Linked DNA regions of Callithrix jacchus. The protein of the gene in region 2 purifies or fractionates together with the protein of the main gene of each other region. This does not show direct contact. Links are inferred from orthologs where the notes say so. Each region holds a gene or a part of one and is shown on either strand. Other genes may lie near its edges.

What was found.
Region 1: the proteins of STK26 (region 2) and CTTNBP2 purify together in Homo sapiens (affinity purification with mass spectrometry; 4 studies listed by BioGRID and IntAct, with this or other methods). This does not show direct contact. The link is inferred for Callithrix jacchus from reciprocal best matches to the Homo sapiens genes STK26 and CTTNBP2.
Region 3: the proteins of STK26 (region 2) and SIKE1 purify together in Homo sapiens (affinity purification with mass spectrometry; 4 studies listed by BioGRID and IntAct, with this or other methods). This does not show direct contact. The link is inferred for Callithrix jacchus from reciprocal best matches to the Homo sapiens genes STK26 and SIKE1.

Annotation. Positions count from the first base shown.
Region 1 is NC_133512.1:88,459,130-88,468,788, forward strand, and holds the start of CTTNBP2 (cortactin-binding protein 2), read right to left. Parts: upstream 5,972-9,659; 5' UTR 5,946-5,971; coding exon 5,865-5,945; intron 5,554-5,864; exon of another isoform or gene 5,402-5,553; intron 4,933-5,401; exon of another isoform or gene 4,768-4,932; intron 4,764-4,767; exon of another isoform or gene 4,490-4,763; coding exon of another isoform or gene 4,463-4,489; intron 1-4,462. UniProt on the Homo sapiens protein: Regulates the dendritic spine distribution of CTTN/cortactin in hippocampal neurons, and thus controls dendritic spinogenesis and dendritic spine maintenance.
Region 2 is NC_133524.1:127,580,326-127,590,025, forward strand, and holds the start of STK26 (serine/threonine-protein kinase 26), read left to right. Parts: upstream 1-3,623; 5' UTR 3,624-3,729; intron 3,730-3,828; 5' UTR 3,829-3,937; coding exon 3,938-3,979; intron 3,980-9,700. UniProt on the Homo sapiens protein: Serine/threonine-protein kinase that acts as a mediator of cell growth. Modulates apoptosis. In association with STK24 negatively regulates Golgi reorientation in polarized cell migration upon RHO activation.
Region 3 is NC_133508.1:152,756,817-152,766,640, reverse strand, and holds the start of SIKE1 (suppressor of IKBKE 1), read left to right. Parts: upstream 1-3,315; 5' UTR 3,316-3,392; coding exon 3,393-3,563; intron 3,564-3,775; coding exon 3,776-3,881; intron 3,882-4,644; coding exon 4,645-4,787; intron 4,788-6,300; coding exon 6,301-6,414; intron 6,415-8,364; coding exon 8,365-8,466; 3' UTR 8,467-9,824.

The DNA.
Region 1 (9,659 bases), on a different chromosome or scaffold from region 2:
TTAATCAAGTCCAGCTTTGAGCATTTCCTCATATTAAACTTATTAAATCTATTAATTCTATTTTATCACCCCTACTAGATGTGTCAGGACAGTAAGAATATTACTTCTTCACTTGATTTTATCCAACGTGTTACCCCTACGCCCACCCCACCATATACACCTTTGGTATAAAATGTCTACTGCATACAGTATGAAAACAGAAATTTGCAACGAGTCTCATCTACAACCATCTTACTAAGATACAATGTTTCAGCCCACTCTAGAGGCAACTAAGTAACTGTACTAGATCATTCAGTATTTCAAAAATATTTAGACTAACCTAAACTAGGGAAGCAGTTTGATGTTCACCTTTAAAACAACATATAGTACCGAGAAGATGGGGTCTATTTGGTGTCAGCTCTCCAAGGCCATGTACCTCAGCTCATATCAATCACACTGTCTGGGGTCTTTCATGCAAGACAAGAAACTCAGTGTATTGAAAGGAGGTAATACTGACAAGGAAACGATGTCAGGAAGGAAACCTGGTAATGAGTGTAACTAATTTTAACTAAGAGAGAGCTGAAAAGAATGGCAGAAAAGTGGCTCAGTCAGGGGTGACAGCCTCTAATAATTAGGCCCAACTACTTCCCTTTCCCTCCTTTCAGATCTCACCACAGTCTCTGTTTCCTCCTTAGGAAAAAAAGGACAACATCTCAAATAAAACAAGCGTCTATTTTGACCCTAATTCAGCTTTCCAATGTTACATCAGCCCAACACGGGACATGGATCAGCTCCACAGGCAAGCAGACATTCAGATGTAATAACCAACCTTTAAGAAGCTTATAATGCATTAAAGAATATCGTCTTGATTATCTGTTGGTGGCAAATGTCTGCATGCTGACTTTCAAATGAGACGCTGGGCCAAATGAAGAGGCAGTCCTTTGGAACCATCTTGTCTTTTCAATGAAATATAATATGTCAAAACCAAATCTTTGCAAACAAGTAGCCACTCCACATAGCAATGTTACCTAGCCTACACTACATTTCTATGACCTATTAAATGGATCCCCAACCTATTAGTTGGTTACTAATAATTTATTTAAAGAGAGTATCTCCCCCCTCTAAAATCAGGATTTCTGTATGGAAGGCATCATGCCATACACAGCATTAATAATATGATCTCATTATTTATGTAAGTTATTTAAAACATTAAAATTTTAAAAATCTTTCACTATCAGTGTTATCATCATCCTCTCTCGTACCTGTTCTCTGATTCTTTACCTAACTACCAAGAAACAAGACAAATCTCTTTTCATGTTATAAAAGCTTTGCAAAGGAGCACCAAGAGAGAATAATGTAATGGAACGTGTTCAAATAAAGTCTCCTTCTAACGCAATACTCAGATGGGCTTGGGTGGCAAAGTAAACGGAGTTGGGGCTACTACTCCAGTTCCACATTTCTGTGCAATTGCAGACTATTCTAAAGTCTTGCCTAATCTCCTTTTTCCTGCCCAATCTTTCCTTTTATTCCCTTTTCCTGTTTCCAAACTTCTCCATGTTTCTCTTAACCCCCTATTAATCATCCTCTCTTCCACATCCCAGTGGGTGATGTGGCCTTGACTCTATTATTGGAAGGATGCAGGATGGCAGGGGTGCGGCCTCAATCATCATTTTGAAAATAGAGAATCTAAAGAGAAAACTAATAGTGTTGGAAATTAAACTTTTTAAAAAACCCCTATGAAGAATCTAAGAAGTTACTGAGAAAAGCAGCTTGGAAACGGGCAGTATTAAGATGAAAAATTTTAAAACTAAGAATTAGGGTCATCTTTTTGGATCAACATCTGTGATATCTATAATGTTAATTATTACAAGTCACAGGCCAATAGTTTCATTATAAGCTAGCTGGTAACACACAGTAAATTTTCTAATTAGCCAATCATCATTAAGTTTTATGACACAACTTCTTGGTGAGCTTCCTTTTATTTTCTTCATTTAGTAAATACTTGGGGAACACTTACCATGTGCCTGGCATTGTGCTAGCACCTTTGCTTTCTTTTACAAACGTCACACCACTCTCTCCCAGCCACAGCCTTGCTGTGCACATGATCAACAGCAGCTATTTGCAAATCTAAGTACCAAGTCTGTGAAACATTTTCTCACCTCATAAAGTTATGTGAAACACACCAGGATAGAACCAACTGGCAATCTAACTGAGGCATGGGTTCAATCACTGAGAAGACAAATGTTCTCTAAACAAAACTGCTCCTATGAGAAATACAGTAACAATGACAGCAACAATAATAATGAAGTCCAAAAACTGGGGCAAACAGAAATGTACGGCCTATTATTTAAGAAGAAAAAAAAGAGAAAAGCAGGACACTGAAAACAGTTATATTCTCGTCTTTGGAAAAATATTCCAGTCAGTTTCAACTTCCAAGCTCTTTTTCTGAACCACATAGCTAAGAAAAAAATGGAAACCTCCATGCTCATCGCTGAAAGCCCTTCACATATGTCTCCCAAGGATATGGCCACATTTGCACACTCCTGCAGTGCCAGTCCAAATCATCCTTAAATCTCAAGGTCTACCTCAAATGCCATCCTTCTCTGGAAGTTTCTAGATCCATCCACTGGGGATCCTCTCTGAAGTTGCACTCCAAACTTCTAATGCAAAATCATGTGTGCCTCTCATAACACCATCATCTCTGATTTGATTCCTTGGTGTATGTCAGTTTCTATCACTGGGATGTATTACTTCAGGGCAGCAAAGATGATACTTATGATGCCTGCATCTCTGTAAATGCTCAGTAACGTGTTAGTTAAATCTACGTTATTTCCTATTTAAAACATTAAGCTGCAAAACTTTCAACATCCTATAGCTGCCATATATCTATAATTTAGTTTTTTAAAAAAACATAGTGAAATTGGCTATAAAAGTTATCTTCTGTGCATTTACATTCAACCCTGTCACCTGGAAAACAAAAATTTCAAGGTGCCAGCTGTTAATTTGTTTAACATCACTGTTGTGCATTTTAAATCACTGTCCAAGTTTTTCTTTGTCACTGTCACCATGACAACAAATTTTATACCTACTTCTTGCATATTAGCTGCTCCAGAAAAGCCCAGAATGGCAAGAATGTTGGTTGGCTTTCCAAATATAACTCTAAAAAGATCTCCATTTTCCTTTCACTCCCAAATTATTTGGTGACAATAAAAAGTATGAAGATTTCTGTTTTCCATACTGCCTTATCCATTAGGAGTTATTTTCAGAGTAGAAACAGCAATATGGCCTATAAAAGTCATCACATTTGGCTAAGGCACTGAAAATAACCCAGGTTTCCCGGCATGGTTCATGGCAAAGACTATTAATACAGTCCTACTAAATAATGTAACTGTTACCCAGCTTTAAACTTGGTATGCTTTTAGGATTTAAACAGCTAAGAATGAGGATCACAAACTAAATTTAAAACATTCCACTAAAAATGATATTAAACTGAAAACTATAAATTAAGCTTGTTTCTAAGCAACAATCTAAATAGTCAAAGCTTAGTGAAAACACTGACTTTCAAAAATAGCCTACTGCTTCAGAGCTTCCATTGGCTCCTTACTGCCAAATGTATACATAAAAATGTACAATATGTAAACTGATTTGAAATTAAATAAATCTCCAAAATGCAAAGTGAATTGTTCACTAAAATAAAAATTAAGTTCTCAGTCAACAAGAACCCAACGTGCATTAAAACGCCTTTGATTTTTAAGGAGCAACTGTGATGACACATATCACTCCTCTACACTAGCTTTCCTTTCATTTCAAAATTAATCTACAAGTCAAGTGGCTGATATGAGAGAACCATGCCTTATTAAGTCAAAACTGGAGAAGTAAAATAAAATGCCCAATTTACTACATAAGAAGACATCATCGAAATTTTACTAAAATGTCAGAAGTTTATTTCTTTTTAACTACTAGATGAAGAATCCTTATTGCATCTGGCAACCCTAAAGGATTCTACGGAAATAGCAAAGAAGGTTCACTTTCGAAGATTTTCCATGGCTCTGCCCATTAACAAGGGTGAAATTATCAAATCCCCAAATATCAGCAGTGAAAATCAGACTTGAAAATTTTAAACGGCAGAGAGGGAACACTGACCTTGTTAACACAGAAATCTTCCTGGCGACCAAAGTTTTGTTTATGATCTAACTAAACAAAACTATATATCAGCTCTACAGACCATCAATCAGATGTTTGTGTTTGGGTTAATTGTCAGGTGATTAAAATAGAGGGTAATAGAAAGAAACCCATTCTAAGTAGATTAAGTAAACAAATTAAACCTGGGGAACAAGAAACACACCCCTACACACACCCACACACCCCTGCACGAACCCCTGCGCGCGCACACATCACACCTGCACACACACCCCTACACAGGCACCCCTACAAACACACACACACCTCGCACCCTCTTTTTCCTCTTTCTTCTCCTTCCCACCTTTTGGGGATGAAGGCACCAAATCATTTCCACTTCCCCGAGAGCCTTGTCTTAATAGCTAGTTTCCTTACTGTGCCCCACAGAGGGGAGCTGATTCACGTTAAGTGGCCAGGTTTCGTTGGAAATCTTAAAGCTCTGATTTCACAAAAGTTCGTTTTCCGAAAAGTTCAAATCAAAACTTGCCAGTTTTACAAGTGGAAATCAGCAGTCCTCCTCCCCCTGTTTCTCCCTCCACTCCCAGGCTCAGTTCCTCTCACCCCAAGTACCTTCCTCCACATCTCTCTTCCCTCTCCAGAAAGCCCTACCTCCAGAGGGTGGGAGGAAGTTAAAGCGGCCCTGGTTGTTTATGCCTGGCCCTGCCCTCTCCCGCTTTTGCACGGACTCTGCTCAGGTCTTGAGAGGAAGGGAGGGGGCGTCTACGCCCCGCTCGCTCCAACCCACCCCGATCCTCCGGCAAGAGCAGCTAGATCGGGCCAAGAGTGGGAGGCGCTCACAGATCTGCCTTTCTCTGCAGATCCTTGCAGCTCCTGCGAGGCTGCTTCCCAAACACTGAGAACGTTTTCCACCAGGGAAATGTGGGTCCAGCCCTCCCCCAAGGTAGAGGCTGGAAACCACCAGTGAGTATCTGCCCGGAGATATTCAGGGGGTGAAAGTGAGGACCAGTTATAAATGGTAGCGCATTGGCCTTCTAGACCCCAAAGAAGGAGAACAATGTCTTGAAACCAGGTGCAGAACCTCCACCTCGCCCGGGCATTGCCTCGGGAAGAACCAACCCCTTCACCCCACTCCAATCACCACCACCAAGTGATGGGGTAGCAGGCTGCTAGGACCTAAAGCGCTGGCCTCAGCGGCAGCAGCGCCAACAGCTGGACACGGGGTCTCTCCCAAAGGGCCTCCCGAAGGCACCGGAACAGATGCACACAATGGGCATCCCCACACCTGCTGGGCGATGGCCCGCCTCCCCCTCGAAGCTCTCCCAGGTCCGCTGAGAGGTACCAGGCACCCGCGAGACACGCGCTCGCAACCATGCGCGCAGCGAGAGGTGAACAATGGGGGGTCAAATTCGCCAGGAAACCCGTCCCAGCCTTCGCCCCCCGCCAGAATCCACCGCAGCGGAGGGAGTGGGCGAAGGGGTCGAGTGGGACGCACGCAGGAGGCTGGGAGAACCAGGCGACCTGGGGTCGCTCCCCAGGGGCGCGGAAGGGGCAGAACGGAGCCCCAGCCCGGGTGGCCGCTCCGCTCCCACCGGCATCGCCTTGCGGGCACCCCGAGGAAGGGGCACCCGAGGGTCCCGGGCTTACAGAACGCCCCGGCGGTGCGGAGCCCGGTCCAGCTGGGGCCCCGGCGCCGCCCCCTGCCCGCGTCTACACTCGCCCCACACCCGCCCCGGGAACTCGGTTACCGCCGCCTCCGCCGCTGCCCCCGCCGCGTCCTCTGGAGCCCGGGACAAGTCGGGCTCGCAGCTCGCGCCGTCAGTCGCCATCTTCCTGCTCTAGCGGATCCGAATGCGAGCTCGGAGCCGCGGCTCCGGACTCAGCCCTCTCCGCGCGGGCGGCGCTTAACCCGCTGCTGTCCGGGACGCGGGCTCCGGGAGCCGGGCGCAGGGAGCCGAGAGTCGCCGAGCTCTCTCCGCCCCTCGCCGCCGCCCTCGCCGCTTAACCCTCTGTGCGCCGGAGCGCCCCGCCTCGGTCCCGCCCCGCGCCCTGCTGGGCCAGCCGCGGGCTTGTGGAGGTGCGAGAAATGGGCGCACGACCTGACTCCGCTGCGGTTCTGCGCACTGGCTAGGGATCAAAGACCAGGGAAGAGGTGAAGGGAGAAAGCGTGCCGCAGAACCCCCACCAAGCCCGAGAAATCCTTGCACAGACCGGATTAAATGTCAGGCCTCCTGAAACTGAATTCTCTGAAAGATCAGGGAAAATCCTACACTTCAGCTCCCTCTATCCCGCCCCGAGGAATCACACAAGGCACCCCTTTCTTCTTAAATTGCTTTCTTAAATTTCACCGCCGCCAGGGTGTTTTTACCCTCCCAATGTATGTGTATATACACCTGGCTCTGATTTACTTACTCTATCTTGACTCTAGTCCTTCTCCAAAAACAGTCCTCAGATGAAAACGATGTGTCTGTTCTGTTTTCTTTTAGTGCATGGCACTGGCCCCTCAGCACCTAACTCTGTAATCTCCTTTTCAGGGAACTTGTATCTGGCTGTCTTATGTTCTTTGACCCCTCAAGTCTGAGGTCTCTTCTGAAGGACTAACCAAGAAGTGTTAAATGTCATAGCTTTAAAAGCTAAATGTTATGCCCTCTACTTTTGAGAGTTTAAAAAAATTATTCCCTACGTGTGAGGATACGTGTACGTATACACAAAAAACAATCAAAAACCATCTTTGTAAACTTAGATTTTATGGGAATTACCCAACTCAGAAGACTTTTCATGAGGTGAGTGAATTAGGCCCAAACACTCAGACTTCCCTTCCCACATCTAACTCATTTCCTACCCTTTGCTGCCAATTTCCAGAATGTGAAAATCTATCACCTTACCAAGACCATATGGTACAGCCCTTCCCAAATCACCAGATCCCTAAAAATGTGTCGAATGCATAAAATCAAATTGAGACATTCAAGCTTTGTCTCAAAAAAGTAAAATCAAACCACAACCAAATCCTGCACTTGAAATTCTGGAAGATGAATGACTGGAATGTTCAGTCCAAGAGTTACAGATCAAAGCTTTTTTTTTTTTTTTTTTTTTTTTTTTTTTTTAATGGCAGGTCTTAATGAAAGATTTTGAGAATTTAATTGCTCCACTTTCCAAATTGGATCTAAATATGACACAAACCCGGGCAGAGAAAACCTTTTCTACAAAGACCATGAAAGGGATTGAGTAATAAATTGTGAAAAGTTCTCTTCCAGAAGAGAGGTGAAGAAAGAACTTTACCTAGAACTCTGGGGCTAAAGGTCGGAAGATTAGAAATCCTCTCCAGGTTATCCTGTGAGTAGAGGTATTTATTTATTTATTTATTTATTTTTATTGGCTCTGCTAGTTACTTCCTCTCTTATCCCTTTAATATCCATCCCTGTTCATTATACCACTTTTCTTTATTAAGTATACTCTCTAAAACTGCTCAATATTAGAATTACTAGATTCCTTTAAGATGAAAAAAAAGCATTGGACAGTAAAAGATGTCAAGTTGATAGTAAAAATTTAAAGTCCAAGAGCATTCTTTGTTCTTTTCAAAATGCATTTTCACACATTGCAAGACAATCAATTTTCTTGATTCTGATGTTGAATACTCCCCAAGCAATTAACTGGAAAAAAAAGAATAAGATAATAAATTTTACTCAGGGTTAAGAGCTAGAAATATGAAATGACACTATCTCTGGAAAGCAAATCCCTTTTATACATGCAGCCCAATTAAGAAAAAGTCATTAGGTAAAGATAGCTTGTATTCACCTAAATACAATTAAAGCAGGATCATGCCACATGGAAATCAGTCCCTGTTCCCCACCCCCACCCCCATCATTTTTTGTTTGTTTTTGTGAAATGGAAAGAAAACAGACAAAAATCACAGGACGCCACATTCTCTGACCACCAAAATCCAGGACCTTGGAAGGAGAATTGACAGCATTCCGTTTCTACCTTAAAACTGGCACTGTTGAAGATTGGCTGAGGATCTCACCGACTGCACAGAAGTGGCACACTAAGAGTTAACTTCCTCACCAGTAGCCTGGCCTGGGGCTGCTTCTCCACCAGGAAGACACTTGCTGGTTTGAATTCTCTCTTGAGAATAAGCCTCTGTTACTATTGCAAATTAACTCTTTCTGAGACTTTCTTTGCACAAAGGCAGGCTCTATTACAGTCAAAGCAAATAGATCTGAAAGGGTAGTGACTGGATGGTTCCAGAAATTAAATCTTTTGAGGCCTCATTAAACAGCTAAATAATAATGATAATTAATAATAATAATTTAAGAAGACATCCCAGGGCTACAGTGAAAGTTACTGAAAGGCAGGGTAAAAAAGGAGTGAGATAGAAGTATAAACAGGAGGAAAATAAATCCCTTCAACAAAAATGAATCGTGATTCTTAATCAGTAAATTCCTTTCAGCATTAAAATGGAAGGAGTAATATTGACTATATTGCAAATAGAGAAAACTATAATTTACATTCTTTTTTTGGAATGTAATAATGATGCTGATGACCCACTGACTAAATAATTTGAGGCTAATTATTTTCCAAACCCTGGAATAGAGGTATTTGTGCTGAGCTATAGCACACTCTCTAAGGGTGAAATGACCAGGGAAATTAGTTCTTGAAAGTAGGAATGTAGATAAATGTTTGGGAGCCAAGTGGTTTTCTGATTAAACCATGTCCTTGGCCTCATCAGCCACATCCTCCAACCCACTAAACCAAAAACCCAGAGTTATACATAATGATACAACAGGATGCTTCCTTCAATGTGAAAAGATAAAGGAATATACACATAGCCTAAAACTGTTTCCATCATGGAGTAAGAGAATTCTTTATTTTGGTAAAATGACAACATTTATGTTAATTCCAAAGAGCAAACTGTATGTCAACATGTCAGTATTGCCAAATGACAAAATTACGGAGTAGCAAATCATTTCTGACTGTATCTGTGAGCCTACAGTTACACAATTTAAATACTGCAAACCATGCTTATCCCTGTCTGCAGCACGGTGACCAACCTAGGAAGCCCCAAATCTTGACATCAGGAACTCCATGACAAAGAGTACAGAGGAGCTGAGTGTCCATTGCCAGAAACGATCTTCCTGTGACCTAACTACATTCCCTTATAGTCAACTTATCTATATGTGCCTTAGGCTTTTTGTGGATTTTACTCCGTAAATTTAATTCTAATCTAGTTAGCCACTCTTGTCAACAATCTATGGTTTTTTGGAAGGCCTCCTCCACCAACTGCAGTTGGTGAGTGCCAAAGGAATGCAGGCTAATTTTACCTAAGCTAAAGCAAAACATAATTAGGAAATAAAATCTGCCGTGTAGGAAGCAAGCCAAAGGGAAACATACATAATTAACATAATCACTCCCAGCCCCTTTTAATACCACCTTTAACTGGGAACTGTATCTCTTCACTCAATTGCTGAAGGAATATCCAAATATAACATTTTACTGCAAGGTTAGAGCCACATTAAGAAAATCATCCCCCAGTGCAGTCACTCTAA
Region 2 (9,700 bases):
CTTACCTAATCTGTGTATAATCGTACCCAATCTGTGTATAATCTTGCTTTATGTATATGGTTATTAAGTATTCACAGCCATTCGGGTCACATCAATCAAGCAGGTGCCAAATCCTGAGGTGCTATGTTACACTCTATGTGTGACCAAAAAGCCTAAGATGTATCTCTCCTCAAGAAACATTTTCCAGCCGGGCGTGGTGGCTCACACCTGCAATCCCAGCACTTTGGGAGGCTGAGGCGGGTAGATCATGAAGTCAGGAGTTTGACACCAGCCTGGCCAACATAGTGAAAACCCATCTCTACTAAAAATACAAAAATTAGCTGGGCATGGTGGTGCATGCTTATAGTTCCAGCTATTTGGGAGGCTGAGGCAGGAGAATTGCCTGAACCTGGGAGGTGGAGGTTGTAGTAGGCTGAGTTGCGCCACTGCACTCCAGCGTGGGTGACAGAGCAAGACTCTGTCTCAAAAAAAAAAAAAAAAAAAAAAAAAAAAAAAAAAAAAGAAAGAAAGAAAGAAAGAAAAGAAACTTTGTTTCATTAAACTATAGAAATACATTGTAATGGATTGTCAGATTCTGGGCTGACTTTTCTTTTGGAAACGGAGTCTCACTCTATGGCCCAGGCCATACAGTTGTGTGATCTCAGCTCACTGCAACTTCTGCCTCCCAAGTTCAAGCAATTCTCCTGTCTCAGCCTCCAGAGTAGCTAGGACTACAGGCACACACCACCACGTCCAGCTAATTTTTGTATTTTTAGTAGAGATGGGGTTTTGTCATGTTGGCCAGGTTGTTCTCGAACTCCTGACCTCAGGTGATCCACCCACCTTGGCCTCCCAAAGTGCTGGGAAAACAGACATGAGCCACCAGGCCCAGCCTGGACTGATGTTTTGAAGTAAAATATTCAAGTTTCCTTTGTGTGTGTGTGTGTGTGTGTGTGTGTGTGTGTGTGTGTGTGTAACAAAAGCATACTTCAATTTATTGTCATTTTATTGAAATAAGAATTTGAGAAATAATGCCGTTCAAAGTGGAAAAAAAGTCCTAATGCTCATAAAATTTGAAATGTTTTCAAATTTTGACACCTTCACAAGATTTTGTTTATAGACATACACACAGGAAAAATCATTTAAAAGCCCACAAAGAATCCCATTTAAAAACTCAACTGATCTCTATCAATTATAACAACAACTGATACTTTATTTAATAGCAGTAAACCAGAATAAAGGCTAAAAAACTCACTAAGATCTCAAAAGCAATGTCTTTCAGGAAATGTCTTCCTAGTCCAGGTCTCAGCACTAAGCTTTCATTCTTCCACATAGTTACGTAACTGTGGCCCAGAATGATATCAGAGAAAGTCATTTCTCTGACAAGCCTAATTTACTTATCTATCAAAATTATACAACTTGCTCATAAGTAGTTGTGAAGTTAAAGTAGCCGGAAAGAATTTTGGAGACTAAATAATGAAAGATGTAACACACAATAAGGTGAACAATTTAAATATTCAGTAAGAGCAATGCCTAAGGGTTTAACCTGACATCGATAAAACATATAGTGTGCATATTACACACCTAGTAACCTCAGTGAAGAATTCAATAGAATTTTATTCATTCATTCAAGAATTACTTATTGAGGGCCTACTATTTGCGATGCACCTAGTCTCTGGGGATACAGCAATGAACAAAACATAAAAAAAGCTTGCCCTCAGAGTCCTGCCATTCTACCTGAATAATTCTCATGTAAGAGAAGCTGGATTTCTGGCCTCAAGGACCTAATATGGGCAGAAAAAGCAAATGAAATATATGAAATATGAAGAAAGGACTACAGCGTGAGCGCTGCTCACATTGGAGGGATTTAAGGGAGGGCTTGGAGCAACTAGGAAGAGTCAATGGAGGTGAGACTTGAGACAGGTTTTAAATGATGAAGTTTGATTCAGATCCTTGCAACTCAAAAGTGTGATGTAGGCATCATGACCATGTGAGAGCTTGTTAGCATTGCAGAATCTTGGGCCCACTCCAGACTTGCAAGATCAAAATCTGTGCTTTTGAGGGATCAAAAGAACCCTCGGATTTCTAGGGTTCTTAGAAGTTTAGGTGGCGCTGCAGGTTTCTGGTCAGGCTGGCAATGCTGTGAGCTGGGTTGGTGGGAAATCAAGACTAGATTGGAGCCTACCATTAGGTTAGAAATAGTGAAAGGCTGGACTGGGGGAACTAGGAGTGAGGAAAATGCAGTTGTACCCTTTATCATTAAAAACAAAGAGGAACCACAGAGAAAGTAGTAAATTTATCACCAGGCAGAGGCACCTGCGTCTGAATTCCCAGCTGCACCACTTCTTGTGTGACATTTGGGTCAAATTATTTAACCTGGTTGAGCCTTTTTCTTCATCTGTAAAGTAGGGGGAAATCAATAAGACCGCAGAAGGCCCTTGTAAAGGTTCAGTAAGGTATTAATAACACACAGAAAGCACTTAGCAGTCTCTGGCACAAAGAAGATGACATCCATTAATGATAACGATATTGATAAGAATCATATATTATTCTCTGAAAAAGATGTAAAAGGAAGAAGAGAAACTACTATTTACCACTAGAGGCCCCCCACCGTGTGGTGGTTAGAGACCCAAAACAAACTTCAAAGTAAAGAACTTCATTTTAAACTGGCATTCGACTATTACGTTTTTAAAAAGTAATTAACCCCTTATGTGTTCCCAAAGGTGCCTTCATAATGAAATTCCTGTTGCTATTATTACCAGTGTTACTGTCGCTGTTAGAGTACTCTCAAAAGAGCCTGTCTCCCTCCCGCAGTGGAACTTAAAATGCGGCGGAGGCAGGGAGTTACCAAAATCGCTGCTGTGTATGCCGAATTCAACAACCTGTACTGCTGACGATCCAATCTCATTTCCCAAGCCTCTACTATCCTCATTAACTTTTCTGCTGATATAACATCTGCTTTCCATTTTCCCTCTGCCTTTACACGTGCAGAACTTGTGGTAGAGAGAAGCCCCAGTTTGGCCGTCCTGCAAGTGATAGCCAAAGAGGTAGGGGGAACCTTAGGTTAGAAGTCATCTGAACCATGTCTGGGGTCGGGGAACTCGTAAAGCTTGAGTGTGGCTACTGGTCTGCCCAGAGGAGCAGCCCCCAGCTGAGGAGGCCAGATGGCGGGAAAAAGCGGGGGCCGCCGACTCCGCGGCTGTGATCCCGCCCTAGGCCAGGCCGGGGAGCCAAGAAAGACTTCCAACACTCCCAAGTTTCAACTCAAGTCGTCTCCGAGGGTGCGTGTGCCCCAGCCTCGCACGCCCGCCTGCAACAAGGTCGCATCTAGGACGCCCTCATACCCTCAGGGTTTCCCAAACTCTTCCATTCTCTTCCCAGGCCCAGCCGTGTTCCAGGTCTCCCGTTCGCCGGGTTCTCCTCACCCCATGCCGGGAGAGTCTCCAGCTTCTCAGACTCCAGCAACCCCAGCCAAACCCCTTCGCTGCCTGGAGCCTTGGCTCCCGCGACACCGCCCGGCTGCGGGGCGGGGGCAGGGCCAACGGCGGAACCGCCCCCAGCCGCCTCCCGGGCCAGGCAAGCAGGCGGGTGGCTGGGACGCCTCCACCTCCTCTTCCTAAAGCGGCGAGGCGCAGAGGAGCGGCATCACTCGAGCCCAGGTCCCAGCCACCACCACTCACAGCGCTCGGCGTTCAGGAAGAGGAGCAGCAGCGGAGGCGGCTGCTTCAGTGGCGGGCGGGCGCCAGAAAGGTAGACTGAGTCCCAGGGAGCCCCGCCGCGAACAACCCACCTCCCAGCCCGGGCTACGCGCCTCCAGCCCAGTAACCCCACTTCTGTGTGTCCTTCCAGGCCCCTAACGACAAGCCTGGGAGGGCCGCCGAACTACCCCTGGAGGAGGAGCCAGTCCGAACTCAAGGCGCTACCGCCGCAGAAGCGGAGCGAGGCTACAGTCGCCTCCATGGCCCACTCACCAGTGGCTGTCCAAGTGCCTGGGATGCAGGTGAGGAAGCGCAGGCCGCCCCCCGCCGCCCACGTGACTGCTTGGGAGCCCGGAGCGCTCTCGGTGCTGGGCACCGACGACAAGGGACGGCCCCGGGACTCCCCTGAGGGCTGGGCCGGTCACTCTGGCCAGGTGACCTGGGAGTAGGGCTTGAGGTGTTTCCTGGTGTGTAGGCTAGGTGGTGCTCTTCGCTGGGAAGGCGAGGCGGGACTGGAGCGCGCAACTAGGTGGGGATTGAGGGCGGCTGTGGGGTATAAAAATAGGCCAGAGCCACAGACACCTGCGCCTGTGGAGCTTGGCACGGTTGGGGATGGGAGGGGGGGAGAACTTAACCTGCGAGACATGAAAGTGCCTTGGAAGTTGTGGGGTAAAACGCGAGTAGTGAGTGCCCTACAACCCCCACCCCAAACACGCACTCAAGCTGGGGCGGGGCAAGACCAGGGGTGTCGGCGGCAGCTTGAATTGGGCTCTTCCTGTGTGCGTAGGGCTGAGAGAGAGAGGTGACCTCTTTCTCCCTTTCGGTACTGCTGCTTAAGGGCAAAGTTGTATCTGGCTCCCCGACCTGGCCCAGCCCATAGCGTGGAGCGAGAAATGTTGGTCCTGTTCAGAGTCGCTGAAGTGATGAGTTCCCAGCCCCCCTCCGTGCCTTTCCCACGAGATGACTTACATGTGGTTAAAGTAAGCATATTGTCCTGGACAAGGGACTACTGCATGGGACCCAACTTCTTACTCAAAGTCTACCCAGCCCAACCCCCTCCCATTATATTTTCATTTTATTAAAGGTAAGCCATGTTGGAAAACTTCTCATGCTGTTATGTTTTTAAATCGGTGCACTTTAGGCTATCTGCTAAATGTTATCCAAATCTACCAACTTTTTAAAGTATTCACTTTTTTTCCCTTTGCTAGATAGCCCAAACAACCCATTTATGAATAGTTTAGAGGCTAAAAACAAGAAAGCCTCAGTCTCTCATGATCTAAAAATGTGAAAACAAACTTTTTTCAAGTTCAGAAATAAAATGTTTAGAGTAGCAAATAGCTTATATTTACTGTAGACTTGGGCCTCAATTTACTTATTAGCAGTGTTCTCATTTTATGCATGCCCACAAAAGTGATTTTAAAATTATTTCCCAGAAAGGGATCATTTGTGCACCTAGAACTCCTGGTGTGTCCTAAACATCAGACATTTCAGCTGCATTTAGGGCAAGTCTGGGTTGAGTCTCAGGAAGTTAGTGTATATTAAAGAGAGAGAAAGGGAAATAGGAAATAGTAGGGCTTAAGAAAAAAAAAAGATTAATCCATTCAAGCCTTGCAAAATGTCTCAGACTTTCTTCCTCTCAGGCGGCCTCCCCTCTCTTCCCCCCCCTTTTCCCCACACACCCTGTCCCACACCCCATTCATTCAGTTCTGCCTTTGATTGTATCAAGGGAATTCATAGTTTGCAATACTAAGTACAGTTTTGCCGTCGGATCTGGGAAAAAGTGACATTTTCCCACCGTGCTCTTCTTTCCGTTCTATGGAGAGTGGAACGATGCACACGTGAAGTTTGTCTCTGAGGGTCTCCATGCTTCTCGCTCCATTGTGTGCGTGAGCCTGCGTGTGTGCGTCAGCAGAGTGAGTGCCTCCCGTTCTCAAGTTTGTGATTCTGGGGAACTCTGTGTGCTAAGGAGAAAATAGTTTCCGATCTTTACTTTATTTGTCTTGACCTTATTGAATTTATATGGTTTAGGAACTGCTTACTGTTCAGTATTTCTAAGTGCTGTTCCCTGCTTTGTTTAAAGATCTGAGTTGCCTATCTCTTGAATATTTACATCTTAATTAATGTGGATTCGAATGTGAATCACATACTTTAAATTACAAACTCTGCCTTTCACTGCTGTCTGAATTCTGATTACTTTGTCCCATCTAATCTGAGTAGGGCAAACATCTCAATGTTAGCAGAGAAGAGAGGAATTATTATTATTTTTATTTTTTGGTCATTCTCTTCATCTTAATGAAATGGTAAATTCTTCTTATTTCCATTTTCTTTCTAAATGTACTTCTTAAGCACTTTGTGCAACACATAGTTTTTTCCATAGTTGAAATTGTACAATACCCTAATAATAAATGTGAGAGCACGCAGTGTGACTCTTGAACCTAGACTATTTCTGTTATTGTTATATAGCAAAATATTGCGGATGAGATGCAGAAATTCGTTGCAAGCTTGTAAAATGCTCCTAGAGTTTTATGAAAGCCTTAGGAGCAACTTTTAGATTTTTAGAAAACTTGAGTTAGCCATGTGTTCTTGAAATTACTGTATGGTGTTTCCACAAATCAGGGTGAGGTGACCGGCCAGCCTATAACTTTTTAACAGTTTATTTTAGAGAATTATGAAGATTGATGGGAAAAACGATTTTTCCAGAAATAAAAACAAAATTATCCACAATTTTTTTCTCCCTCTGAGGAGAGACGTGAAGCTACCTGTTCTATCACTTAAGACTTCCAGCATTCCTGACTTTCAAACAAAGAAATTTCTGTTGCCACTAGTTTAAAATAGAAAAGAAACTTGGAGTGAAGAAAGAAAACCCAGGATTTGGTCCAGTTCAAACTCTTCCTTATGAATTAGGTATTCAAACTCATATTGTTGATATTTCTTAATATTGTGGTAATGAACATTTTTGCCATATTACACCAAATGTTGAGGGTACTTATTTTGTGCTTGCTTCTTTAGTGTGTAACTAAAGGAATTTTCCATACCAGTAGCTGAACCCTTGAAAATATTGAAAGTACAACTTAAAAAAAAATAAGCCAATAAACCTTTTCTTTCAACTTAAATATGTACTCTTTCATGATTTGAAGAGTTTTGAACCTGTTTTCTTTGAAGTTTTCAGTTATAAATTATACTTAGTTTTAAGATATTTCCCCTTAGAACCTACAATAGTATTTTTGAGGACAAATTTTCATTTAGAATATTGTTAATAAATCTTTCATAAGATGTAGGTGGAAGAATAAAGTTAAATGTTGAATTAGAGTATTGAATGTTATGCTTTATGCTATGTCTCTTGTTAAAGAAGTTTTAAAGCTTCTGCTAAAGAACTTTAAAATTAGCCTTCACATATCTTTAAATATGAGCAAGGTGGTATAGTTTAAATATAGTTGTTATTTGAGATGAGAAGTAGAAATGGAGTTTAGGGATTAATGAACAGTATTGAAGACTTTTACCGAAGTGGTGGAAAACATTGCCCAGCATTGGTGAATATAGTAACTGGATTCTGGGAAGCATACTGAAGTGTATTACATGTTTTACACTTAAATATCTTAAAATCTTGTTGAGTTGTTAAAGCTAGCATATGAAATATCAAATAATGCAAAATCTGTGAACTCATTGTAAGTATAATAGAAGTGTCTGACTGGAAGAATTGAAGGCTTCCAGAAAGTAAGTCTTGTTAGGATGCAGTCTGGGCAGGGCATTTCCAAGCAAGGAAAAATCCCAAGCAAAGGTTGACAGACTAGGAGTTTTCGAGTTTACGGTGGTAGTCACACAACCATTCTGTTTTTCACTTTCCATACAGTATTCGGTAGATGACATGAGATAGTCATCACTTTGTTATAAACAGGCTTTGTGTTAGATGATGTTGCTTAACTGTAGGCTACTGTAAATGTTGTGAACGCATTTAAAGTAGGCTAAGCCATGATGTTCGGTAGGTTGGGTGTACTGTATTAAATGCCTTTTCAACTGACAATAGTTTCAATTTATGATAGGTTTATGGGGACATAACCACATTTTAAGTCAAGGAGTGTATGTATACAATATGGATAAGGAAGGGTATGCTGCATTTGTGAGCGCGCGTGCACACACACACATACACACACACACACAATCTTTGAGAACAGGATAAAGTCATTTGGGCTGTCATAGAGAATTCCTCTAGAAAAATAATATGAGATAACATCGGAAAAACTGGATTTAGTACAGATCATGGCTGTCCTTAAATGTCAGGGAAGGATTTTGGCCTTTGAACTAGCCATTAAACATTTCTGAGTAAGGGAAACTCAATGTACCAAGTTACATATAGGAAGAGAAATCTCAAAATTGGATGAATGAATCCAACTGGAGGATTGAGAGAGGAGGGGTAGTTTAATCCACAGAAGCTATTTCTTATTTTCTAATTTTTTTTTTTTTTGAGATAGGGTCTCACTCTGTCACCCAGGTTGTAGTGCAGTGGCGCGATTATGGCTGACTGCAGCCGCAACCTCCTGGGTTCTAGCAGTCCACCCATCTCAGCCTCCAGAGTAGCTGGAACTACAGGTGCACGCCACCATGCTGGGGTAATTTTTATGTTTTTTTGTAGAGACAATATTTTACAGTTGCCCAGGCTGGGCTCCAACTCTTGGACTCAGTGATCTGTCCACATTGGCCTCGCAAAGTGCTGGAATGACAGGAGTGAGCTACTGCGCCTGGCTACAGAGGCTATTTCAATGGGACAATCATAGTTATACAGGCACAATGGGCCTTCCACGGGCAGGTTCCCTTCCATATGTTTAATACTATGAAGAAAAAAATTAATTACCAGGCTTAATAATTAGCTAGTTTCAGAAGGAAAAGTTAAAGACTTTGTGGTGTTGAATATGGGGGAACTGGGAGAATTAGGATCCATCTGAAAGAGATTGGAATGTAATGGAGAAGTGCCAGATCTGGTAGGAAGTTAATGATTTCTGTTCTAGACTTGTGAATTTTGTGGTAACAATGGGATGACAAAGTAAACATGTCCAACACGTAGTTGAAGATGGAGCTTTGGTTATTCATCAGATATTTACTGAGCATCTACTCTATGCTAGGTACTTCACTTGAAAATGAAGGACTAGAGACACCACGGAGGGAGACGTTCATAATGCCAGAAAGAATATGTGGAAGTGAGGGCCCTCATGAGACAGGACACATAGGTCGTAAGAAGAGGAAGGATGGCTTTAAGATGTATGGGAGGATGAGAAAATGTGCCAAGTTAGAGAGAGAGTTAACTGGGTTGGGGTGGGGGAATTCTTTATTTAAAGTCATCTGGAAACCTACATTGGAGAAAAAATTCAGGTTTGTACCAGAGTCCAGGATATGGAGTTATTACCTCCCTTACACCTCCATAAGAGGATAATCAGATTTGCAATTTGAGGTGGAAAGCATTGCTTTGCGTTGATGAACCCAAATTATTGTCCTTGTTGTTGAGTATTGATGCAGAGATGTTGAATATGCTAATGCTAATGGCAGAAGACCAGCTAGAGCAAAATAATCAAAGACTGTTAGCTGAGAGAAGGCGGGAGTAGTTAGAACTTTTGACACCAGGGGAGTAGGGACTGTAGGGAGAATAAACAGGCATTGGGTATGGTAGGACATGTGCCTTCAACAGTAATGAGAGCTTAGAAATGGCACTTGAGTACAAAGGTCCATCATCATGTAACTTCCCTTGCTTGAGTCACAGAAAATGAGAGAATATAATTTAGCTGGTACTTAGGAACCATTGAACATTGTGATACTGTATTTTTTATTCTGCTTTACATTTATTCAGTGACCTTGAGCAAATCATCTACAAAATGGGGAATAATAAAAGCTGCATTTCCTTTGCCTCAATGAGAGGTTATTAGGATGAATTAACTATCATCTGTGGAGTTGGCGCTCCTTTGTAAAAGGTGTTATGATGTGTGCGGCAGTTCATCCTGCAAAACAATGCTTGGCTAATCATATGAAAACACTGT
Region 3 (9,824 bases), on a different chromosome or scaffold from region 2:
TCGCACCACTGCACTCCAGCCTGGGCAACAAGAGTGAAACTCCGTCTCACACACAAAAAAAAAAAGAAAGAAAGAAAGGAAAAAAATGAAGGAAGGAAGGGAGGGAGGGAAGGAGGGAAGGAGGGAGAGAGGGAAGGAGGGAAGGAGGGAGAGAGGGAAAGAAAGAGAGAGAAAGAAAAAGAAGAAAGGACAGGAAAGAAGAAAGGAAAGGAAAGGAACGGAAAGGAAAGGAAAGGAAAGGAAAGGAAAGGAAAGGAAAGGAAAGGAAAGGAAAGGAAAGGAAAGGAAAGGAAAGGAAAGGAAAGGAAAGGAAAGGGGAAAGAAGGGAGGGAAGGGAAGAAGGGAAGGGAAGGGAAGAAGGGGAGGGAAGGGAAGGGGGGGAGGGGAGGGGAGGGGAGGGGAGGGGAGGGGAGGGGAGGGGAAGCAAACAAAGCCTACAAGAAATATGGGACTATGTGAAAAGACCAAACCTACAATTGATTGGTGTACCTGAAAGTGATGAGGAGAATAAAACCAAGTTGGAAAACACACTTCAGAATATTATCCAGGAGAACTTCCCCAACCTAGCAAGACAGGCCAACGTGCTAATTCAGGAAATGCAGAGAACACCACTAAGATACTGCTTGAGAAGAGCAACCCCAAGACACATAATTGTCAGATTATCCAAGGTTGAAATAAAGGAAAAAATGTTAAGGGCAGCCAGAGAGAGAAGTCAGGTTACCTACAAAAGAAAGCCCATCACACTAACAGAGGGTATCTGCAGAAACCCTACAAGCCAGAAGAGAGTCGGGGTTGTCAACATTCTTAAAGAAAATAATTTTTGGCCAGTTGTGGTGGCTCACATCTGTAATCCCAGCACTTTGGGAGGCTGAGGAGGTGGATCACCTGATGTCAGGAGTTCGAGATCAGCCTGGCCAACGTGGAGAAACCTGGTCTCTACTAAAAATACAAAATTAGCCAGGCGTGGTGGCACGTGCCTGTAATCCCAGCTCTTTGAAAAGGTTCTTATGAGGTGATATTAACTAATCCTTGTGCTTTTGAGCTACAGGGCTTTACACATATCTCATCCAAAGAAGGCACCAACTCCTGTCAGTATCTGACACTAAACTGCAAAGGTGACAAAGTAAACTGCTTTCATGAGGCCCAGGGACAGTCTTGTGTTCAAAAACATTACAATTCATTTAACAATTTTGCCTCTATCTGAATTAGTATAATTTATTCAGTGCCTTGATACTAAATCATTTAAATGTTTAGCTACCTATGAACTTCCTTTCCTGTCATTCTCAAAAGTAGGCAGGGTTTATGACCTTTGTGTTCGAAATGTTACTTCTTTCTGTTTTGTTTTACCTACAGACTTTGAAACTATTCAATCCCTCCAGGCCAAAAGACTAAAACATAATATTGTAAGGGCCAATACTGAAGGCTCAAATTAGTTCAGCCCCTACAAAACAAGGATGGCACACAGATACCAACACAGCTCAACAAAATGCTTGCGGTTTGTACGGGTAATTGTGACAAGCCAAGATTACAGCAGCTCAATGCACGGAATTTATAGATAAGACAATTTTGTGACCTTGCCTTTTGGCTTTTGGTTTTTGGCTCTTAACAATCCTTAAGTGGGGGTTTAAGGTTAAAGAGTGCCTGCCCACCTTCCTCCACATCTGGCCTAGAACATTTAATTGACTATAAGTCTGTTAATCATAGGAGGGACATGATGGACTCAGGGCAGGTAGCACATCACCCTGGCATTGATATGGGACGAAATAAAAGTTTGGAAATTGATACTGTCTCTGGGATACCTTGACAAAAAAAAAAAAAAAAAAAAAAAAAAACGGAATGCTGTTTTGAAGGCATGAGCCTAACCACGCCCCATCTGCGAGCATGTGATCAGTAAAACTGCTTTCGTTTCACCGCACCTCGCTTCTCATGTTTTTGGCCTCTAAACAGCAAGCAGCCAGATGTGAGCCAGTTGCAATAGCAGCATTATTTACAATAGCAAAAGATGGAAGCAACCCACTGGATGAATGGATAAACAAAATGCAGAATATACAATACAATGGAGTATTATTCAGCCTTAAAAAGGAAGGAAAATATAATATGTGCTACTATATGGATAAAACTTGTGGACATAATGCTAAGTGAAATAAGGCAGTTACATAAATACAAATGCTGTATGATTTCACTCATGTCAGGTATTCAGGAAAGTAGCATGGTGGCTGCCAGGGGATGGGGAGAAGAAAGAATGAGGAGCTACTGTTTAATAATGCAGAACTTCAGTTTTGCAAGATGAAAGAGTTCTAGAGATGGATGCTGATGGTGGCTGTATAACAGTGTGAATGTACTGCTATTAATACTACTGAACTGTATGCTTAAAAATGGCTCAGATAGCCGGGCGCGGTGGCTCACACCTGTAATCCCAGCACTTTGGGAGGCCGAGGCGGGTGGATCACGACGTCAAGAGATCGAGACCATCCTGGTCAACATGGTGAAACCCCATCTCTACTAAAAATACAAAAAATTAGCTGGGCATGGTGGCGCGTGCCTGTAATCCCAGCTACTCAGGAGGCCGAGGCAGGAGAATTGCCTGAACCCAGGAGGCGGAGGTTGCGGTGAGCCGAGATCGCGCCATTGCACTCCAGCCTGGGTAACAAGAGTGAAACTCCATCTCAAAAAAAAAAAAGGCTGAGATATTAAATTTTATGTGTATTTTACCACGATTTTTAAAAAATTAAATGAAAATAGGTCAGGTGCGGTGATTCACGCCTATATTCCCAGCACTTTCGGAGGCCGAGGCAGACAGATCACTTGAGGCCAGGAGTTCCATACCAGCCTGGCCAACATGGTGAAACCCTGTCTCTACTAAAAATAACAAAAATTAGCCGCATGTGATGGCACATGCCTGTAGTCCCAGGTTCTTGGGAGGCTAATGCAGGGGGATCGCTTGAACCCGGGAAGCAAGGGTTTCAGTGAGCCGAGATCACGCCACTGCACTCCAGCCTGGGCAACAACAGCAAAATTCCGTCTCAAAAAACAAAAATTTTAAATTAAAAATTAAATGAAAATAAAAACTATGAGTAACAACCCACATCGATGAAAACCAGTAGGGAAAGGAGAACTTCCTACTGCCCAGTTAATCATGGCCTGACCAGCAGGCTGTGGGAATTGGAAACCAAGGGCGTGGCAAGGGCAGGTCTGGGGCTCCGCGCTGGGCAGGACTGCAAAGAAGCCACAGGTTCCAGCGGGTAAACCCGCAAACGGGACTGCTATTGCGCAGGCGCAAGACACCTTTTAAACGTGCCCGGAAGTGACGCTTGTAATGCTGAGACAGACTCCCAGATCTCAGCAAGTCGCGTAGCTGAGCCCGGCAGGTCCAGTGGGGTCGTGCCGCTGCTATGAGCTGCACCATCGAGAAGATCCTGACAGATGCCAAGACGCTGCTGGAGAGGCTGCGGGAGCACGATGCGGCCGCTGAGTCACTGGTGGATCAGTCGGCGGCGTTGCACCGGCGGGTAGCCTCTATGCGGGAGGCGGGGACGGCGCTTCCGGATCAGGTCAGGCAGAGGGTAGGAGTCCAGTGCTCTCGGATTCTGGGCACTGAAGGGTGGAGAGCGAGGTAAAGTGGGAACTCGGCCTGGAATTGATTCCGCGTCTCAGAGGGCGGCGGTGAGACATTTTTCCTGGGTCGGGGCTGAGAAACCTGCCCCGGAGCGCTGATTTCTGCCTCTTCAGTTGCATCTGCCGCTGTTCTCTACTTAGTCTGTCTCTGTTTGTCCAGTATCAAGAGGATGCATCCGATATGAAGGACATGTCCAAATACAAACCTCACATTCTGCTGTCCCAAGAGAACACACAGATTAGAGACTTGCAGCAGGAAAACAGAGGTTAGTCGGGCCTTTTCATATCTGGTAATAGTTTGAAAGGTATTGCAGAATTGCCCTAACCGTTCACAAAAATGTACATATATTTCCAGGTCAGTACTTTTAGTAGGCGAGTCTTCCTGTGCTGGCCCGGTAACAGCAAAGGTTTTTAGATTACCCTTTTCAAGATCATCTGACTGATTTTGTAGCAGCTTACCAAAGAGCTGCTAAGTAGAGTTGAATTCTTGCAAACTTTAATGTTTAATAAGTATTAATGAAAATAAACACTAAAGGTAAGGTTTAAGGTTTTGTTTATGTTCTTGTTCATGCAAGGGAAGCAGCAGAATGTTATTTTAAGGGTATATATTCTTCGGCTTGATTAGTATATTATTAATAATTGTAGTATTACTAGTTGTTTACCAGCGGGGTTTCACAGGTATCATTCTACTGTATTCTCCTATCTTCATTTTTAGCTATTTATTACAATGCAGTTAAGAAATACACTCAGAGACGCTAAATGATTTACTTACAAGTATTAACGAAGCAAGTTACAGAACTGAACTCAAACCCGTGTCTTCTGATGACATATCCTTTGTTGTTTCTGCTTCTCTGCCTAGAAAGTTATCTTTCACATAGACTTTAACTGTTCAGTTTTGTGGACTTAAACCCTGATTTACAGCTTTGGATTCATATTATCTCTATAGTGTTACAAAATTCCAACTGTTAAGACTTTGGATATGGGAGCGCTCTCTCAGACATCACTGCCAAGTTATTTTATTTTTGATAGAGCTCTGGGTTTCCTTGGAGGAACACCAGGATGCTTTGGAACTCATCATGAGCAAGTACCGGAAACAGATGTTACAGTTAATGGTTGCTAAAAAAGCTGTGGATGCCGAACCAGTCCTGAAAGCTCACCAGTCTCACTCTGCAGTAAGAAACTTTGAATAAATTCGAAATGAACTGAATTGAAATCTTGAGATTGTTCATTGTGTGCTTGTTTTTGTTTTGTTTTTTGAGATAGGGCCTGGCTCTGTCGACCAGGCTGAGGTACAGTGGCACGATCTCAGCTCACTGCAACCTCTGCCTCCTGGGCTCAAGCCATCCTCTCATCTCTGCCTCCTGAGTAGCTGGGACTACAGGTGTACACCACCATGCCCTGTTAATTTTTGTGTATGTGGTTTTTTGGTTTTTGGTAGAGATGAGGTTTCACTGTGTTGCCCAGGCTGGTTTGAAACTCCTGTGCTCAAGCAATCCATCTACGTTGGCCTTCCAAAGTGCTGGGGTTACAGGCATGAACCACTGTGCCTGGCCATGTGTGCTTGTTTTTGAAGAAAAGTAAGCTTGTTTTCCTTTCATGTTTATCACGTTTGTTGTTGATTTTGCCATGGCTTTGTAAAGATATGAATAGAAAGGAGGAGGATGGGGCTGCTCAGGTCCTTTTATTTGAGTAGGAGTAAGGTACCCCCTCCCTTACCAAGATCTCTTTTGAAGATGTTCATTAATTCTTAGCTCTCCCACCAAACATAATGCCAGTTAGTGTTGAAGATGCCCAGTAAACACTTGGTTGCTTATTCTTTATACATCTCACTTAAGCTCCTTTGTTGTAAGGAGCATGAATTCATATTTTATTCCTACCATAGTACCTGACATACAGCAGGCGGTCAGTAAACATTTTTTAAACTGAACTACATAGCATTATACCATGTTGTTAGGGAAGAGAAGTATGCTTTTTTTTAAAAAAAAAAACAAAAAAACAAGCATGGCATAGTTTCTATACTTTGCTTATGATCTAATTTGAGAGACTCAGTAATTATTCTTATGCTTGTAGGTGCTTCGTAGATGTCATTGTACATTCATGTGTACTGTATGATTTAAATCTAGATGTGTAGATTGGAGCCTACTATATGCTACTGTGAGATGCAGTGAAAGATAAGCTTCGTCTTAAACTCCATTGAATGCATTTTACTGACTTAAAAGTTTTAGGAAACAGATATTTTATAAATATTTGAATGGCTTTCATCTGGAATAGAAAAGTAGATTTTATTTTTTCTCTTATGGAGGAAAAAACTTGAACCTTGAAAGAGACAGAGTTTACTCAGATAGATAAACTTTCTAAGTGATATGTCCAAAGATGAAATGTAATAAGCTTCCTGCCAATTAACGTATTCAAATTTAAGTTAGCCACTTAGAGATAGTATCCAACATCCAATGGGTAGTTAAACTACAATTGATTTTTCAAAAAAAAAAAAATTATCTGTGAATACCACAAGGTCACTTGACTATGGCTTTATATCTGAGGACTAAAATTGTAGTGAAACTCCACTGTAACTTCTGTAACATAGATTAAATGAACTTTTAAAAATCATAACACACACACTCTTACGTTCTTTATTTCTATAGAACAAATGATTTTTTCACCTTTGTTTCCTTAATATCTCCACAGGAAATTGAGAGTCAGATTGACAGAATCTGTGAAATGGGAGAAGTGATGAGGAAAGCAGTTCAGGTGGATGATGACCAGTTTTGTAAGATTCAGGAAAAATTAGCCCAATTAGAGGTAAGATTGTTGTCATTTTGGGTTCACAGTATTTCAGAGTTTCCAGAGTCTGGAAGATACACCCTCACTGTCCTATCACTGTAATATATTGATGTTTTCTGTGTGTTTATGATTTAAAATTAAAACTCCTCCTTCATACCCTATGAAGAAAGAAAATATAGTAAACAGCAATCAAAGGAAATACCAACTATGTATTGGCAAGAAGTTGAGATATCATGCGAAGGTAGTGGGAGTGGAGGGGAGAAGTTATATGTGAGATAAAATCCTCATCTGCCATAATAAGAAGGGAAATAGGTAATACCTAACTAAAATCTTTGATCAGGAAATAGCAGTATAAATGTATTATTTAGAATTATGAATTAAATACCAAAAGAAATAGATAAAATAGTGGTTGCATTTGGGGTGCAAAGCCAAAGAACCGCTTGTATAAGCCATGTAGTCTTGATTTCTTAAAAGCTATGCTTATGTCATATTTTGATTAGAATAGGAATATGTTACAAAAAAGGGTTTGGGGTATAGTGTGCCCATAAAATTGTTAAGGAAAAACATTTCAATTTTGGGAGGTTAAGGCAAGTGAATTGCTTGAGCCCAAGAGTTCAAGAGCAGCCTGGGTAACATGGCGGGACCCTGTCTTTACAAAAAAAATACAGAAAATTAGCCAGGTGTGGTGGTGTGCTCCTGTAATCCCAGGTACTTGGCGACTGAGGTGGGAGGATCACATGAACCCAGGAAGTCGAGGTTTCAGTGAGCCACAATCACATGTACCACTGCACTCCAACTTGAGCGACAGAGTGAGACCGTCTCAAAAATTTAAAAGAAAAAAAAAAGCGAAGCATTTCAGTTACTGGTTTGAGTGCTGCTTATTACAAGGTGCTGTCCTGGGCCTTTTGACAAATACCAGAGAGAAAAAACAGGTACCTACCCAGAGTCTAGTGGAAGGAATAACCCTAGTACTTATATGATATGAAATAGTATGTGTAAGTGCTAGGAGACAGATACAAATACTGAAGGAAGCACTTCATGGGGTAGATTTATCGACTACAGGCTCTAATCTCTTAGTTACTCTATCTGCGGCTTCCACACATCTTGGTGAAGCTAAAAATGCTTTGGTTTACCAGAATTTTCTGCAGAGAATAAGGATGAAGAGTGCAAGCTACCCTGTCTAGAAATCGAAGGTAGTGACAGGTCCCAAGTAGTAATTAGGAGCCAGTGAAATGATAGAATGACCTTCTATTTGTCCCCAATTTCCTCACTTATGGAAATAGCCCTAAGGAAATGTGGGACAAGTTCTACTTTAATACTTCATGTAGAAAAAACATGACCACATTCAGACCCCAGCAGTATCACATCCAAGTTGTCTGAATTTTGACAACTTTTTGGAATTTTGTAAGACAGAGTATCCTCATCTTAAGTAGAATATGGATGTAGGCAATGATACCCTACCCTACGGGTTATTGTGGGATAACATATACAGTGCACCCATGCAGTACCCAGCTACATGCTTAATAAGCCCCTTTTCTTCCGTTTCTCTAGAACTGTAAGATATCCAGGAGTGGAGACTAATCAGAGTGAAATGATTATTAGGAATTTTTTAAATAAAATAAATAATAGTAAAACTGTGGGAACCATGAAAAATATAACAGTGAATTCCTCAGGTGGAGAGGGACCTTGTTTTTTGTTTTTCCTTTACAAGCCTCACAGTTGGTATATAGAAATTACTCAGTAAATTACTACTACAAAAGAGTATCATTGCCTACATTCTACATGTAAATGTTTGTTAAATGAATAAATAAGTAGTATTTAAGGAAATTCTCAATTCGTGGACTTTTTGTTTCCTTAAAATTTTTTTAATTAAAATAATGTTTTTTGCTCCTGGCCCAAAATAATGTGTTTTTATAACACAGTTTGACAGTAAAAAATACCAGAAATAAACATGCCTTTTTTTTCCAGCTTGAAAATAAGGAACTTCGAGAATTATTGTCCATCAGCAGTGAGTCTCTTCAAGCCAGAAAGGAAAACTCAATGGACACCACTTCACAAGCCATCAAATAACTGAGCTCTGAATGATGGCTGGAGATTGTCTATCAAAGAAGGAAGTTACTATCTTCCCATTCAAGTACTGTTCATTAAGTGTCTTGCCTCAGATTTGATTTAACCTTGATTACAGTTATCAGGTGGCAATTTAGAATTTCCAGTCAATATTGCTGTCCATGAAAACGGTTCTCAGATGTATTAATGTGGATACATGCTGAATTTCACTATTCCTTTCTCAAAGAGACTACTTTTAATTTTTATTTCTGGGACCTTGATTTATATAAACTGTGTTTTCAATTCATTGTTATTTTTCACATCTCTGAAACTTTGAGCATTTTTTTATAAGCCAGCAATTTTATTATGTATAGCATTGTAAAATACACTCCTAGGAAATTTTAGGAGAGATTTAACTTTTTAAATTTATTTGGCATAAACCTTGGTTTATCTTTTTTTTTTCATTTGATATAAATAATACAATTCCACAGAACTAAATCAGTTGATTCTCTGATTTGTAATGTCATTCGCCTGTGAAGTTTTAAGTCTCTCTGGTGCTAAGAATTGGCACTTTATGGCCTGGTGCCTTTGCTTTTAATTTGAGAGAACCTACTGCTAGTCCCAGGAAACATACTTGGAAATAAGTCAGCTATATTTTTCCCCAGTGATAGTATAGTTGTCATACATTGTTCAAAGTTCACATTGTTCAAAGCTGAGGAACTTGTCTTGTGTATGTGCATGCACACATGTAAGTGCACTTATTTCAAATACTAAAATTAGCTTTTATTAAATACAATCAGCCAAAAACACAAGAAAATCAAAAAACCCAAATATAATGAGTCAATTTTTCTTAGCTTTTTTTTTTGAGACAGAGTCTCACTCTGTTGCCAGGCTGGAGTGCAGTGACACGATCTCAGCTCACTGCAACCTCCAACTCCCTGGTTCAAGTGATTCTCCTGCCTCAGCCTCCCAAATAGCTGTGATTACAAGCACATGCCACCACGCCCAGCTAAGTTTTGGATTTTTAGTAGAGACAGCGTTTCAGTATGTTGGCCAGGATGGTGTCGATCTCCTGATGTCATGATCCACTCGCTTCAGCCTCCCTGAGTCAATTTTTCAATGTTATCCTACTAGTTCTACATTCTATTTTAACTTTTATATAATTTCCATGTTGTAGTTAAGAACTGTCACTTACTTGGATTAGATGCCTTTCACTCCTAGTACTAATAGTTGACTTTCTTTTTAGGTCTATTTTTTACATAAAAGTAGCTTTTTTTCTTTTTAAAGCTATATACAAAGGTAAGGAAGCAGTTTTATTACCTAATGAGAATTATTACACTCATAGTGCTATGTAGGCAACATTGAGATAAAAATGCCCAGTG